Linked DNA regions of Macaca fascicularis. The protein of the gene in region 2 interacts with the protein of the main gene of each other region in a biochemical or structural test. Links are inferred from orthologs where the notes say so. Each region holds a gene or a part of one and is shown on either strand. Other genes may lie near its edges.

The links.
Region 1: the proteins of UBE2K (region 2) and RLIM form a complex in vitro, tested with the Homo sapiens proteins (2 studies listed by BioGRID). The link is inferred for Macaca fascicularis from reciprocal best matches to the Homo sapiens genes UBE2K and RLIM.

What each region holds. Positions count from the first base shown.
Region 1 is NC_088395.1:81,485,828-81,492,965, reverse strand, and holds part of RLIM (E3 ubiquitin-protein ligase RLIM), read left to right. Parts: intron 1-1,236; coding exon 1,237-1,320; intron 1,321-2,557; coding exon 2,558-4,179; 3' UTR 4,180-7,138. UniProt on the Homo sapiens protein: E3 ubiquitin-protein ligase.
Region 2 is NC_088379.1:38,997,635-39,005,420, reverse strand, and holds the start of UBE2K (ubiquitin-conjugating enzyme E2 K), read right to left. Parts: upstream 4,798-7,786; 5' UTR 4,783-4,797; coding exon 4,709-4,782; intron 1-4,708. UniProt on the Homo sapiens protein: Accepts ubiquitin from the E1 complex and catalyzes its covalent attachment to other proteins. In vitro, in the presence or in the absence of BRCA1-BARD1 E3 ubiquitin-protein ligase complex, catalyzes the synthesis of 'Lys-48'-linked polyubiquitin chains.

The sequences.
Region 1 (7,138 bases), on a different chromosome or scaffold from region 2:
AATTTACTAGATAAAAATCCAAGTGTAGAATAGCTAATGGGAACTTAGGTTTTAGGAAAGACTTATTCTATTTTGTTAAATCTCTGATTTTTTGAATATGTCCCAGTTGTAATACTCCAGAGCTAGCCTTGGGTAACATAGCAATGAGAAGTTTGTGCTTGATTATCTTTTACCCCACGAAGTCCCATTTGATCCTAGTTAAAACTCAGTGTCTGTCTTCCTTCTCATTTCTGTTTAATTCTACTTACCTTTGAGTAATTGCTTAGATTTTAAAAGGTAAGGTTTTTGCATGACTTTTAAGAGAGGGAGTGTGTTTTGAGCCAACAGTACCAGGCTTGAATCAGAATGCCTTAGTTGGAGTTCTGGCCCTGCTGTTTGATGTGGCTTCTGGCAAGCCAGTCTATCACTCAGTCTGTTTCTTCATTTTAAAATGCAGATAACAATATCTTCCTCTCAAAGCTTCAATTCTTAAAAATTATTTACTTATTTACTTTTAAGACAGGGTCTCATTATGTTGCCCTGGCTGGACTCAAGGGATTCTTCTGCCTGAGTCTCCCAACCTAACAAGCTGGCACTACAGATGCAGTACCACTGTGTGCCCAGCTTAGAATTGCCTTTGCCTTTTTTTTTTTTTTTTTTTTTTTAAGCGGAGTCTTGCTCCATCGCCCAGGCTGGAGTGCAGTGGTGCAGTCCCGGCTCACTGCAACCTCTGCCTCCCAGGTTCAAGTGACCCTGCTCCTCAGTCTCCTAAGTAGCTGGGATTACAGGCGCTCACCACCACGCCTGCCTAATTTTTGTATTTTTAGTAGAGATGGGGTTTTGCCATGTTGGCCAGGCTGGTCATGAACTCCTGACCTCTGGTGATCCAGTTGCCTCGGCCTCCCAAAGTGCTGGGAGTACAGGCGTGAGCCACCATGCCTGGCCTAGAGTTGCAATTTTTAAAAGTTAGATCTTATATGCAAAAGAACTTTGTAAATTGCTTGTAATATGTTTCCAAAGAAGTGAATTTTTCCCGGGTCCTACCTACTCCTTGGTTTTTCTCTCAGAGTTGGGAACCACTGGTTTTCTTTTTTCTTTCTTTTTTTTTTTTTTTTTTTTTTTTTTACGTTTTCTCTTAACTTTTAAAAATATGATTTTTTTTCTAATCATCTTGTGTCAGATTACTATGAGTCACTGATAAAGTATTTGATTGTCATACCCCTAATGTCATTTTTGCCCTGTGGTGTTAAATTTCAGGTGAAAGTACTGAGGAAGAGTTGCTGAGAAGACTACAGCAAATTAAAGAAGGCCCACCACCGCAAAACTCAGATGAAAATAGAGGTATATTTTGGTTTTGGTGGGGAGGTGGATAGATGATAGAATGATAGGAGCTTTGTAATAGTAAATGTCAGCCAAAGATTATCCAAATTTGGCACAAATTAATTTGGTGCTAAGTAACTGCTCATAAAAAGAAAACTGACATTTTCTTAGTGAGAATGTCAGCATTTTTTTTCTATCTCACCTTTGGGATGTTTATGTTAATTGGAACACAGTGAGAAATGGCCTATTTAAATGTGATTTTGTTTGTTTTTCACCTCCATTGAAATTTATTCCTACTTAATTCCTTCTTTATAAACATGCGAGTTCTTCACCAGCAAAAAGAAATGTCTAAACCCAGTGGCTCCTAATGAGATATAATTTTGTCCCATGTGGGACATTAGCAACGTCTGGAGACATTTGTGTAGAGGGCAGGAATGCTGCCAAACATCCTGACATGCCATAATGCACAACACAGCCCCCATGACACAGAATTAACTGGCTTAAAATGTCAAGTAGTACCACTGTTGAGAAATCTTGCTCTAATCTCAGGTCTGGTGTTTCCCTCCCAGTGTCGAGTAGGGATTTTGACTGTGTAACCTTGAGAGGCTACGATAATAATTTGGTTCTTGAGCATGCCAGTGTATGTGCTATGCAAGGTTCAGACTACTTATTTGATCTGATCTTTAATTTCATGTCCATTGAAAACCTTGGTAACTTTAAGAAATATGCAAATGCTTTTAAACCTATAAATCTTGTTTGTATTTTTCTTATGGCTACAATAAGTAGTCTTGTATTTTAAAACAACCTCAAATGTTATCGAAGGCACAGTATGTAGACTAATAAAAATTTGACAGAAATGTAGCTTGAACTAAATGTGACTATTCTTTAAACACTGTCTCCTTACCTAGTCTGATTACATTAGTGTTTTGGCAGAGGACTGAAAAAATGTCTTCTGGCCATCCCACAGTGGTATGCTTGGCCTTTATATGATAAAATACTAGAAACAGACTTCCTCTAGATTCCCTTTAAAAATCAAATAATTCTCTAAATTTCTCTAATATAGATTGCTCTTTTCAAATGGAATTAGAATTTTCTTGCCTTATAAGTTTATGCAGTGTAGTTTGTAAAAATCTGTAATTATGAAATGTGTTCCGAATCTTTAAATTCTTTAATGCAGAGTTTTAGAGCACTTATTATATGATTGTCCTCATTTTAGTAGTTCCTTTTTCTCCCTCTCCCCCTCCTTTGTTTTGAACAGGAGGAGACTCTTCAGATGATGTGTCTAATGGTGACTCTATAATAGACTGGCTAAACTCTGTCAGACAAACTGGAAATACAACAAGAAGTGGACAAAGAGGAAACCAATCTTGGAGAGCGGTGAGCCGGACTAATCCAAACAGTGGTGATTTCAGATTCAGTTTAGAGATAAATGTTAATCGTAATAATGGGAGCCAAAATTCAGAGAATGAAAATGAGCCATCTGCAAGACGTTCTAGTGGAGAAAATGTGGAAAACAACAGCCAAAGGCAAGTGGAAAACCCACGATCTGAATCAACATCTGCAAGGCCATCTAGATCAGAACGAAATTCAACTGAAGCATTAACAGAGGTCCCACCTACCAGAGGTCAGAGGAGGGCAAGAAGCAGGAGCCCAGACCATCGGAGAACCAGAGCAAGAGCTGAGAGAAGTAGGTCACCTCTGCATCCAATGAGTGAAATTCCACGAAGATCTCATCATAGTATCTCATCTCAGACTTTTGAACATCCTTTGGTAAATGAGACGGAGGGAAGTTCTAGAACCCGGCACCATGTGACATTGAGACAGCAAATATCTGGGCCTGAGTTGCTAAGTAGAGGTCTTTTTGCAGCTTCTGGAACAAGAAATGCCTCTCAAGGAGCAGGTTCTTCGGACACAGCTGCCAATGGTGAATCTACAGGATCAGGACAGAGACCTCCAACCATAGTCCTTGATCTTCAAGTAAGAAGAGTTCGTCCTGGAGAATATCGGCAGAGAGATAGCATAGCCAGCAGAACTCGATCTAGGTCTCAGACGCCAAACAACACTGTCACCTATGAAAGTGAACGAGGAGGTTTTAGGCGTACGTTTTCACGTTCTGAGCGGGCAGGTGTGAGAACCTATGTCAGTACCATCAGAATTCCCATTCGTAGAATCTTAAATACTGGTTTAAGTGAGACTACATCTGTTGCAATTCAGACCATGTTAAGGCAGATAATGACAGGTTTTGGTGAGTTAAGCTATTTTATGTACAGTGATAGCGACTCAGAGCCTACTGGCTCAGTCCCCAATCGAAATATGGAAAGGGCAGAGTCACGGAGTGGAAGAGGGGGTTCTGGTGGTGGTAGTAGTTCTGGTTCCAGTTCGAGCTCCAGTTCGAGTTCCAGTTCGAGTTCCAGTTCGAGTTCCAGTTCCAGTCCTAGTTCCAGTTCCGGTGGTGAAAGTTCAGAAGCTAGCTCAGATTTATTTGAAGGCAGTAATGAAGGAAGCTCATCATCAGGCTCATCAGGTGCCAGGCGAGAGGGTCGACATAGGGCCCCAGTCACATTTGATGAAAGTGGCTCTTTGCCCTTCCTTAGCCTGGCTCAGTTTTTCCTCTTAAATGAGGATGATGATGACCAGCCTAGAGGACTCACCAAAGAACAGATTGACAACTTGGCAATGAGAAGTTTTGGTGAAAATGATGCATTAAAAACCTGTAGTGTTTGCATTACAGAATATACAGAAGGCAACAAACTTCGTAAACTACCTTGTTCCCATGAGTACCATGTCCACTGCATCGATCGCTGGTTATCTGAGAATTCTACCTGTCCTATTTGTCGCAGAGCAGTCTTAGCTTCTGGGAACAGAGAAAGTGTTGTGTAATTAAGATCTGAACTCTCAGCTATGTAGCTGATATAGTGATGGGCAAATAGGAATCACTTGCTTTTATGTCCACTTTTTGAGTGGTACTTAAATGTAAAGTAACAACCTGAATTGAGTCATTGCTTTCTGAAGGAATCATTGTCCTTTCTCCAGTTTTTGTTCCAGAATAAAAGGAAGTATTTTAAAAGTCACGTTTTAGGACCTAAAAATCTGATTTCTGTACCAGTTAAATTGGTAGCATCACTGTTACTGTTAATTTATCATATACACTCGTTAATTTTTCCTTTGTTATCTTAAAAGATCTGCCTTAGCAATGGCTCCTGTTTCATGTTGATCTTTAAATTTTCCCACGCCATAAGAGAGAGGAGCGAAGGAAATTACCAGTTTAGACTAAGTTACAGTATGTGTTTCATAAGTGATTAAAGCTATACCATTCCTAGTTATTAGTTGACACAAATTCAGCCACATTCTGAATATTGTTTGTTCACCTTTCAGACTTGGTGATACTGGACATGTCAGTGTAAATAACACTAAGGTTAGGATCTTCTAAGTGTACAACTGTCTCCTAAGCCCATCACTGTGGCACACTGTAGAGTGAGCTTATAGTTTAATTGAGATATTTATCTTGTGGAAATATTAAAAAGCCTATGCTTGTGTAAGTGAAAAAAAAATCACATTCATTTGTTTAAAAATGTAAAGCTATTTTGTAGAGGCTCAGTACTTTTCCAATGCACTGTTGTATGAATGCATTAAAAATTGTAAAGTACCATGCTTAGAACTGAGAAAACTGCTTTTTGTGAGCCAACATAGTAACAAACACACCAAACAAAGTACAAAGCTGCTTTTGTAAGTGTGTAGATGTCAAGAGCAGAACATATCTATAATATTTAATGTATGTGAACAGCTACTGTGACATGCAAAGGAAAGGACAGTGCAGAATCAAACTGTGTTGAAGACCAGTGGAAATCGTATAATTTAACTTGGATTTAGGCAGGAAGTGAAAGATGGGAGGAATAAAGAAAACGGCTCTGGAGGATTTAAAAGTTTTCCTGAAGACGGTAATAATGCAGACACAAACTGGTTTCATATGGTGAGAGCAGCCGCAGCAGCAGCTTGACCTGGTATTCTACCTGAGTAGACGAAGCAGAAGATCAGCAAATTTGGCAGAGTTCTGGTTTAAGAAAAACAAACCACTACCACCTAGCACAAGTTAAATTGATGTTTTTACAAGTCTGCTCCTCAAAAATGAAAAGATGGAGGAAAGAGACTATAAAACCACTTGTAGCATATGAAATGCAGTTGGTACACATGTGTGTGTTAATAGGAAAGTCTTGAATTTGTGTTATTTTTGAGATTTGTCATTTAAGGTACCATTGCACACTTGATAATATTTCATTACTATCTCTTAACACAGACCTAACATCTCGAATTTAAAGACCAGTTGAAGATTAAGGGATTTTTATCCTTTGTTGAAAGTGAGTCATGTTGGGTTATTTGAAATTCAAGTTTTAATTGTGCTGCCCATATATGAAAATGAGACTGCTGACTCACTATCTATGGACATGCACTTTATGTTGGTTTCTTAGTAGTAGGAGTAACTTCATGATAACCCCAGTCCTCTTGCCTAGTTTCTTTTTTGAGGCTAGCTGGGGTTAGGATTAGAATGACTATGGAGCAGGTATTTATTCTTCTGGGAAAAGCTTTAACAGGCCAAAATAGGGATTGAACTTGTCCTTGGCCTTTATCAAAGCAAGCTAGCTACCCAGACATAGTCAGATACTCTACAAAATAAACAAGTCTGCTTTAGGAATTGTCTGGCTACCTTCACTGTTATCAACTTAGCTGTAAAGATTATTTCAAAGCTCACTCTTTCATGATTTCTTCTGGCTTTCAATCCTACCTAAGTATCAAGGAAATTAACTTGTAAATATGGTAGTTGTTTACTAAGGATATGTACTGCTCTTGCAAGGAAATAATGTCCAAACAAAGCTTCACTTATTTTTTTTATAAGCAGATTTCACTGTTTATGGCGCTTATGTAATACATTTTATCTTTTTAAAAATGTGTCCGTGTAAAGTCAGGATTCCTTTATATTTGTGAGCCTCCTTTTCTCCTTTCCTAAGGATGTAATCTACAGTTTTCAGATCTGCAGGGTAGTCTTGATTGGCTAAAAACAAATCAGTTTTCTTCTTGGCATAAAGTGTTTCATTATTATAGGGGCGTTCATTTTAAATAGTTTAAAAACAATTGCAGCACATTCTAAGCATAAGAGAAAGTTATTGACAACAGATACCTTCCTAACCTCCCAAGATGTACAACTGATTTGTGAAGTATTAAAGTAAGAGGTAACTCAAGCAGAATGCTGGCTATGAATGTAGATATTGAAGCTATTCATAAACACTGGAAATAGAATTTTAAGCTTGTAGCCTTCAGTGGAATGCACACATTGGACATGTGCATGTGAACACCTTTTTCAATAGCACTCACGGATTTCCATTCGATTGTATAGAATGAATACAAGTATTTTAGTGGAATTTGCTACTTAATTTTTTAATCTTGCGATGTCCATGATTATTACATGCTTACTGGTGTTGTGGACATTGAAGACAAGGTCATTCGTAGGTGTCAGATTACGGTGGAGAACAAAAATCGTTTTCCCCCCACCAACATCCAATCACCATTCTCGAGGGAACATTTCTTGCAGAACACCTTATATTTCATTTTCTGTCTTTGCACTTTTTCTTAAGTACAGAAATGTTGTCTTTAAGACCTAGTTTGAACTTCATGCAGTAAGAGGAACAAGGATAAACAATGTTGGGAGTTCACATTGTTCAAAGCATATGGAAAAGTACCAAAACCCAAATTTTCTTGAATATTTCAGATGTTTTTAAAAATTCACTTACTAGTCTGAAATGTTTGAAGTGTTTTAACTGAGCAGCTGACAAAGTTGAGGTTTTTT
Region 2 (7,786 bases):
GGAATACAATATAAAGAACTAGCACAACATGCACTATCACAGATCTTTAAAAAATAATGCTAAGAGAAAAAGTTTCCAAGAGATGCACATTACAATCATCTATAAAAACTTTTTTTAAAAAAAACTTCTAAAAAAAGCAAAAAGTATTTCATTTTTAAATTCAGGAGATACTATCTTTAACAGTAAAAACAAAATATGAAGGGGGAGAATATACACTAGCTTCACATAGCAGATACTCCTAGAAAGAAAAAATGGAATAAGAAAAAAGTTATCCAATGAGCTCTACCTCTATATTTTACTGTATTTGGGTAGAGGCAATTTAGCCCACAGTATGAGAAGATTACAATCTGTTAAATATGGACCACAGATATAAAGATGTTCATGTATTACTTTTAAAACTTCTAAATATAAAGTATTTCATAGTTTCAAAAAAATCTTCAAAAATGTAGGGAGCAAGCAGCAGATATGAGTGTAACTCTTTCCACCAAAACCACCAATATTTTGGAGGCAGACACCTGGTTTCAAACCTCTGTCCCACCAGCAAGTCATTGATACTGAGGAAGCTACTTAATTTCTTCCCAGCTGCAACTGTTGGATCTGTGAAACAAGAATACTATCAATCTCATACAGCTGCCATATATAAAAAATGTGAGACAGGCAGGGTGCAGTAGCTCATGCCTGTAATCCCAGGACTTTGGGAGGCTGAGGCAGGAGGACTGCTTGAGTCCAGGAGTCTGACACTGGCTTGGGCAATATAGTGAGACCCTCAACTCCACAAAATATTTAAAAAAAGAAAATTTAGCCAAGTGTGGTGGCTACTAGGAAGGCTGAGGCAGGAGGATCACTTGAGTCTAGGAGTTCAAGGTTACAGCGAGCTGTAAGGTCTTGCTTTGCTGCCACTGCACTCCAACTTGGGCAACAGAGCAAGACCTTGTGTCTTAAAATCAATCAATCAATCAGACAGTAGGCATTCAACTGTAGGCAGTTATTCTAAATTTGGAGTAAAAGCAAAGAACTAAAGGGAAGAGAAAGGAAAAAAGGGTTTTTCAGTGGTGTTAACAATTAATTGATCATAACCAGTTACAGACTTTTTTCCTTTTCCATTTCCACTGCTTCGTTGGACTAGCCTTAAAAAAATAAAAAATTTTTTAAAAAGCATTTTCAGTGAAATAAAGTTCTCCCACCTTTTCAGATTTACATAAGAGAATAACATGGATGTCAGATGAATGAGACCACTTATTTTCTGGTTCCCAAAGCCCACTGAAGAAGAGATTTGCAAAGGGATCCAAGATTATATACCATAGGATTAGAATCTAGATTCTTTGCTCTAGTTTCAGGAAACCAGAGCCATGTCAAGAAATCCAAAATAATCCCATTATCTCTATATCATTTGAGAGTTTCCCAAATAAACTTTTTCATTCAGGAAGGTAACATTTTAACACAAACTTTTCTCCAATTTATAACTGTCTCCTAAAGAAAGATTAAATAAATCACATCTGGAGAACAGAGCCCACATATATTCCTCTGTATTAATATATCCCCTCTTATCCACAGGGGACACACTCCAAGATCCCTATTGGATGCTTGAAACCACGGATAGTACTGACCCTATACGTTTTTTCCTATATGTACATACCTATGATAAGGTTTAATTTATAAATTAAACACAGTAAGAGATTAACAATAATAGAATAGAGTAATTATAACAATATACTGTAATAAAAATTATGTGAATGTGCTCTCTCAAATACCTTATTGTACTATACTCACTTATTTTTGGACGATGGTTGACAGTGGGTAACTGAAACTGCAGAGAATGAAACTGCAGATAAGGGTGGACTACTTGGCTACCAGCCCCATGGATTATTTGCACACAGGTGACAAAGAAACACTATTAGAAGTACCATAGCCCTCATATTGAGCTTTTCTTGAGGCATATTTACATCCAGTAATCACTAAACCATTGAACAATACCTTTATAATTCAAGAACAATAAGCACAACAGAATATGAAAACATAGCTACTTCTGACATCTAACAGCTATCTGTTTAATTATGTCCCAAGGTTATTCTAAGCACTGTAAAGACACTCTTAATCTTCCCACAGTTTTTACAGATAAAGATAATCGAGATACAGAGCCAGTACTTCAGGTTTTAAGAAGAAAAGCCAGGACTCAAAGCAAATCTAATTATAAAGCCCATGCTCTTAATTACTAAGCTAACTTCACTAAATTATGCTTCAGGAGTTAAAAATCTCTACCTCCTTGGCAAGTTTAAGTTCTCATACTAAGAGGGGGAAAAGAAAAGACACATTTAAATAATACTGCATTGTTATCTCCTTCTGTAAAGTTGTATTAGCAGTCAGCTTTTACACTATCGTTTATGAAAAGGATATTCCCACAAACCAACTACTTATTATGACTAAACTGGTATGCAAAAAGCCTGGGTTCAACCATTAACCAGCTGTTTCTCTGAGGAACAATCAACCTCCTTGGGCCTCAGTTTCCTGATTTTATAGATGAGGAGTTTGGCCTAGATCTATTTCAGCACTGAAATTCAATACATTTTAGTACATTTTCTAAGACACTATATTTTTCTTAACAGATTTTGAACAGCATCTTTTGAAAACTTTCCAACTTAAAATACGTAACATATACTCACATCTGTTCTTTTACTCAAACATACTCAAAACTAATCTGTTATTAGAAGTCAGGAAAGTAACTAGAAAGGAAGGAGGATTCCTATGGTACTGGGAAGGGTCTGTTTCTTGATTTGGATGCCAGTCACACTTTATTATGTACACGTTTTACTTTAATATGAAAAAGGGTGGTTTTCCTCCCCAAAAGGTAACTATGAAGAAAGTTAAGAACATGATCTAACTCTACAACTATGTTTGAGTATATAAGAGCTGTGCAACCTTTCTGTTCTACATATGTAAATGTGTTTCTTGAATAAGTGCATCAATAATCTCTTTGTTCCATAGTTCCAATTCATGTGCCTAGAGAAAAGTTTATTTACTTAAGAATTTCAGCCAGGCGTGGTGGCTCACACCTGCAATCCCAACACTTTGGGAGGCCAACGCTGGCAGATCATCTGAGTTCGGGAGTTCAAGAACAGCCTGATCGACCACCATGGAGAAACTCGGTCTCTACTAAAAATACAAAATTAGCTGAGCTTGGTGGTGCATGCCTGTAATCCCAGCTACTCAGGAGGCTGAGGCAGGAGAATCGCTTGAACCCAGGAGACAGAGGTTGCAATGAGCCGAGATTGCGCCATTGCACTCCAGCCTGGGCAACAAGAGCAAAACTCTGTCTCGGGGGGGAAAAAAAAAAGAATCGCAATATTACCACAATTCCTTTGGGACTGTCTCCTGAAATTTGAGGTCAGTCTTAACTTTCCTCAGCTCAAGAAGGCTGGGTGAGGTGGCTCATGCCTATAATCCCAGAACGTTGGGAAGCTGAGGCAGAAGGACTGTGTGAAGCCAGGAGTTCAAGACCAGCCTGGGCAACATAGTGAGACCCCATCTCTACAAAAAGTAAAAACTAGCTGGGTGTGGCAGCACGTACCTGTAGACCCAGCTACTTGGGAGGCTGAGGTGGAAGGCTTGCTAGAACCCAGGAGGTCAAGGCTGCAGTGAGCTATGACTGTGCTCCTGGGCGAATGAGGGAGACCCCGTCTCAACAACAACAACAACAACAAAAAGCACCTAGCTCAAGAACCCCCCTCATACAGTCATACAGCCCGGGCACGATGGCTCACGCCTGTAATCCCAGCACTTTCAGAAGCCAAGGCAGGCGGATCACCTGAGGTCAGGAGTTCGAGACCAGCCTGGCTAGAAACCCCATCTCTACTAAAAATAGGAAAATTAGCTGGGTGTGGTGGCACGTGCCTATAATCCCAGCTACTGGGTCAAGCAGTAGAACTACCTGACCTGGGAAGCAGAAGCTGCAGTGAGCCAAAATCACGCCACCGCACTCCAGCCTGGGTGAGAGTGAGTTTCCATCTCAAACAAAACAAAACAAAAAAACTCCAGGTCGGGTGGCTCATGCGTGTAAGCCCAGCACTTTGGGAGGCCAAGACAGCCAGATCACTTGAGGTCAGGAGTGTGAGACCAGCCTGGCCACATGGTGAAATCCAGTCTCTACTAAAAATACAAAAAATTAGCCAGGTGTGGTGGCGCATGCCTGTGATTCCAGCCATTCCGGAGGCTGAGGCCTGAGAATCACTTGAAGCCAGGAGGTGGAGGTTGCAGTGAGCCAAGATCAAGCCACTGTACTCCAGGCTGGGCGACAGAGACTCTGACTCAAAACAAAACAAAAACAAAAAAGAACCTCCCTCATTCAAATACCCTCAGAATCCCATAGCATTTACTCTTTGCCCCTCCCATTTTTATCTATCCTTTGTCTGTCCTGTATCTCCAACCAGTAAGCCTTTTGGGGCTGTGGTCAACATGTTCAGTAACTATCAATAATGTATTCACTGGGAAATAAGAGTACATAGTCTTGGCTGGGCATGGTGGCTCACACTTGTAATCTCATCACTTTGGAAGAGCGAGGCAGGTGGATCACTTGAGGTCAGGAGTTTGAGACCAGCCTGGCCGACATCATAAAACCCTGTCTCTACTAACAATATAAAAAATTAGTTGGGCATGGTGGGGTGCGCCTGTAGTCCCAGCTACTTGGGAGGCTGAGGCAGGAGAACCACTTAACCTGGGAGGCGGAGGCTGCAGAGAGCTTGGATCATGCAACTGGACTCCAGCCAGGGTGACAGAGCGAGATTCCATCTGAAAAAAAAAAAAAAAAAAAAAAAAAAAAGTCCAGGCATGCCAGGCATGGTGGCTCACCATGTAAGCCCAGCACTTTGGGAGGCCGAGGCAGGCAGATCATCTGAGGTCAGGAGTTTGAGACCAGCCTGGCCAATATAGTGAAACCCTGCCTCTATTAAAACTACAAAAATTAGCAGGGTGTAGTGCCCGGGCGCGGTGGCTCACACCTGTAATCTCAGCACTTTGGGAGGCCAAAGCAGGCTGATCACGAGGTCAGGAGACCGAGACCATCCTGGCCAACATGGTGAAACCCCATCTCTACTAAAAAAATACAACAAATTAGCCGGGCCTGGTGGCGGGTGCCTGTAGTCCCAGCTACTCGGGAGGCTGAGGCAGGAGAATGGCGTGAACCCGGAAGGCGGAGCCTGCAGTGAGCTGAGATTGCGCACCACTGCACTCCAGCCTGAGCAACAGAGCGAGACTCTGTCTCAAAAAAAAAAAAAAAAAAAAAAAAAAAATTAGCTGGGCAGGGTGGCGCATGCCTGTAATCCCGGGATTCCAGCCATTCCGGAGGCTGAGGCATTGGTTGAACCTGGGAGGCGAAGGTTGCAGTGAGCAAGATCAAGCCACTGCACTCCAGGCTGGGTGACAGAGCCGAGACTCCTTCTCAAAAACAAAACAACAACAAAAAGGAATCTCACTCATACAGATACCCTTAGAATCCCATAGCATTTACTCTTTGCCCCTACCATTTTTATCTATCCTTTGTCTGCCCTGTATCTCCAACCAGTTAAGCTTTTTGGGGCTACAGTCAGTATTTTCAAAAACTGTCAATAATGTATTCACTGGGAAATAAGAGTATATAGTCTTGGCTGGGCAGTGGTGGCTCATGCCTGTAATCCCAGCACTTTGGGAGGCCGAGGCAGTTGGATCACTTGAGGTCAGGGGTTCAAGACCAGCCTGGCCAACATGGTAAAACCCTGTCTCTACTAACAATACAAAACATTAACTGGGCGTGGTAGGGTGCACCTGTAATACCAGCTACTCAGGAGGCTGAGGCACGAGGGTCACTTGAACCCGGGAGGCAGAGACCATGGTGAGCTGAGATTGTGCCACCATACTCCAGCCTGGACGACAGAGCGAGACTCTGTCTCAAAAAAAAAAAAAAAAAAAAAAAAAAAAAAAAGCCCAGGTGCAGTGGCTCACGCCTGTAATCCCAACACTTTGGGAGGCCAAGGCGGCAAAATCACAAGGTCAGGAGTTCGAGACCAGCCTGGCTAATATAGTGAAACCCGTCTCTACTAAAAATACAAAAAATACCAAAAAAAAAAAACAAAAAACCCTCAGGCATGGTGGCACATGCCTGTAATCCCAGCTACTCAGGAGGCTGAGACAGGAGAACTGCTTGAACCCGGGAGGCAGAGGTTGCAGCGAGCCAAGATTGCGCCATTGTACTCCAGCATGGGCGACAGACGGAGACTCCGTCTCAAAAAAAAAAAAAAAAGTGGGCCGGGCGCGGTGGCTCAAGCCTGTAATCCCAGCACTTCGGGAGGCCGAGACGGGCGGATCACAAGGTCAGGAGATCGAGACCATCCTGGCTAACATGGTGAAACCCCGTCTCTACTAAAAATACAAAAAACTAGCCGGGCGAGGGGGCGGGCGCCTGTAGTCCCAGCTACTTGGGAGGCTGAGGCAGGAGAATGGCGTAAACCCGGGAGGCGGAGCTTGCAGTGGGCTGAGATCCGGCCACTGCACTCCAGCCTGGGCGACAGAGCGAGACTCTGTCTCAAAAAAAAAAAAAAAAAAGTGTATAGTTTTTAAGAAGGGATGACAGGCCAAGCATAGTGGCTCACGTCTGCAATTCCGGCATTTTAGGTGGCCAAGGCGGGAGGATCACTTGAGCCCAGGAGTTCGAGACCGGCCTGGGCAACATGGTGAAACCTTGACTCCACAAAAAATTACAAAAATTAGCTGGGCATGGTGGCAGATGCCTTTAGTCCCTGCTACTTGGAAGGCTGAGGTAGGAGGATCACCTAAGCCTGGGGAGTTAGAGGCTGCAGTGAGCTGTGATCACGCCACTGCATTCTAGCTTTGGTGACAGTGAGACTCTGTCTCAAAACAAATAAACAAACAAACAAACAAAACACACAAATAAAAAGGGAAGAAGCTAGGGGAGCCCAGATGTGTCTAAACCTACGCCCAATGGACAGAGCTCAAAGTCTTTGTAACAGTGTAAACAAGGAATTCACCCCAAACATATTACCTGCACAGACTTTGATTTTTTTAAAAATCCAATCTATAGACTTTCCCTGCTCAACCCATTTCAGAACCCATAAAAAATACTATTTAAATATTACATAAAACTGTAACTTGCGTAACTTTCAAAAACACTTTTGAAAAATAAAATGAAAATAAAAACTTTAAAAACCACTTTTCTACTCTTTATTTGGAGACAGTGTGTTGCTCCGTCACCCAGGCTGGAGTACAGTGGCACAATCACCGCTCACTGCAGCCTTGACCTCCCAGACTCAAACGATTCTCCTGCCTCAGTCTCCCAAAGTGCTGCCATTACAGATGTGAGCCACCAAGCCTGCCTCTAGTTTTAAACAACTGTTCAAATTCTCGTTACATTTATTTTTGGTAGAGAATTTTATCTTTTTATTAAAATCAAAAGGGAGAAATTTTAACAGAAAAACATCAAAAAGGGGGAACAAACTTAAAAGTTTTAAAAATAAAACATTCAAAGCCAGTATATATTTTTTGTGTCTTTACTGTCCGGGTCCATTTATTCTTTAGATAAATTATCTTACACATCTGATACAGTTAGTTAAGTCTCAAAGTATTCTCTTTTTTTTGGAGACAGAGCCTTGCTCTGTTGCGAGGTTGGAGTGCAGTGGTGCCATCTCAGCTCACTGCAACCTCCACCTCCCCGGTTCAAGCAATTCTCCTTCCTCAGCCTCCTGAGTAGCTGGGACTACAGGCCCATGCCACCATGCCCAGCTAATTTTTGTATTTTCAGTAG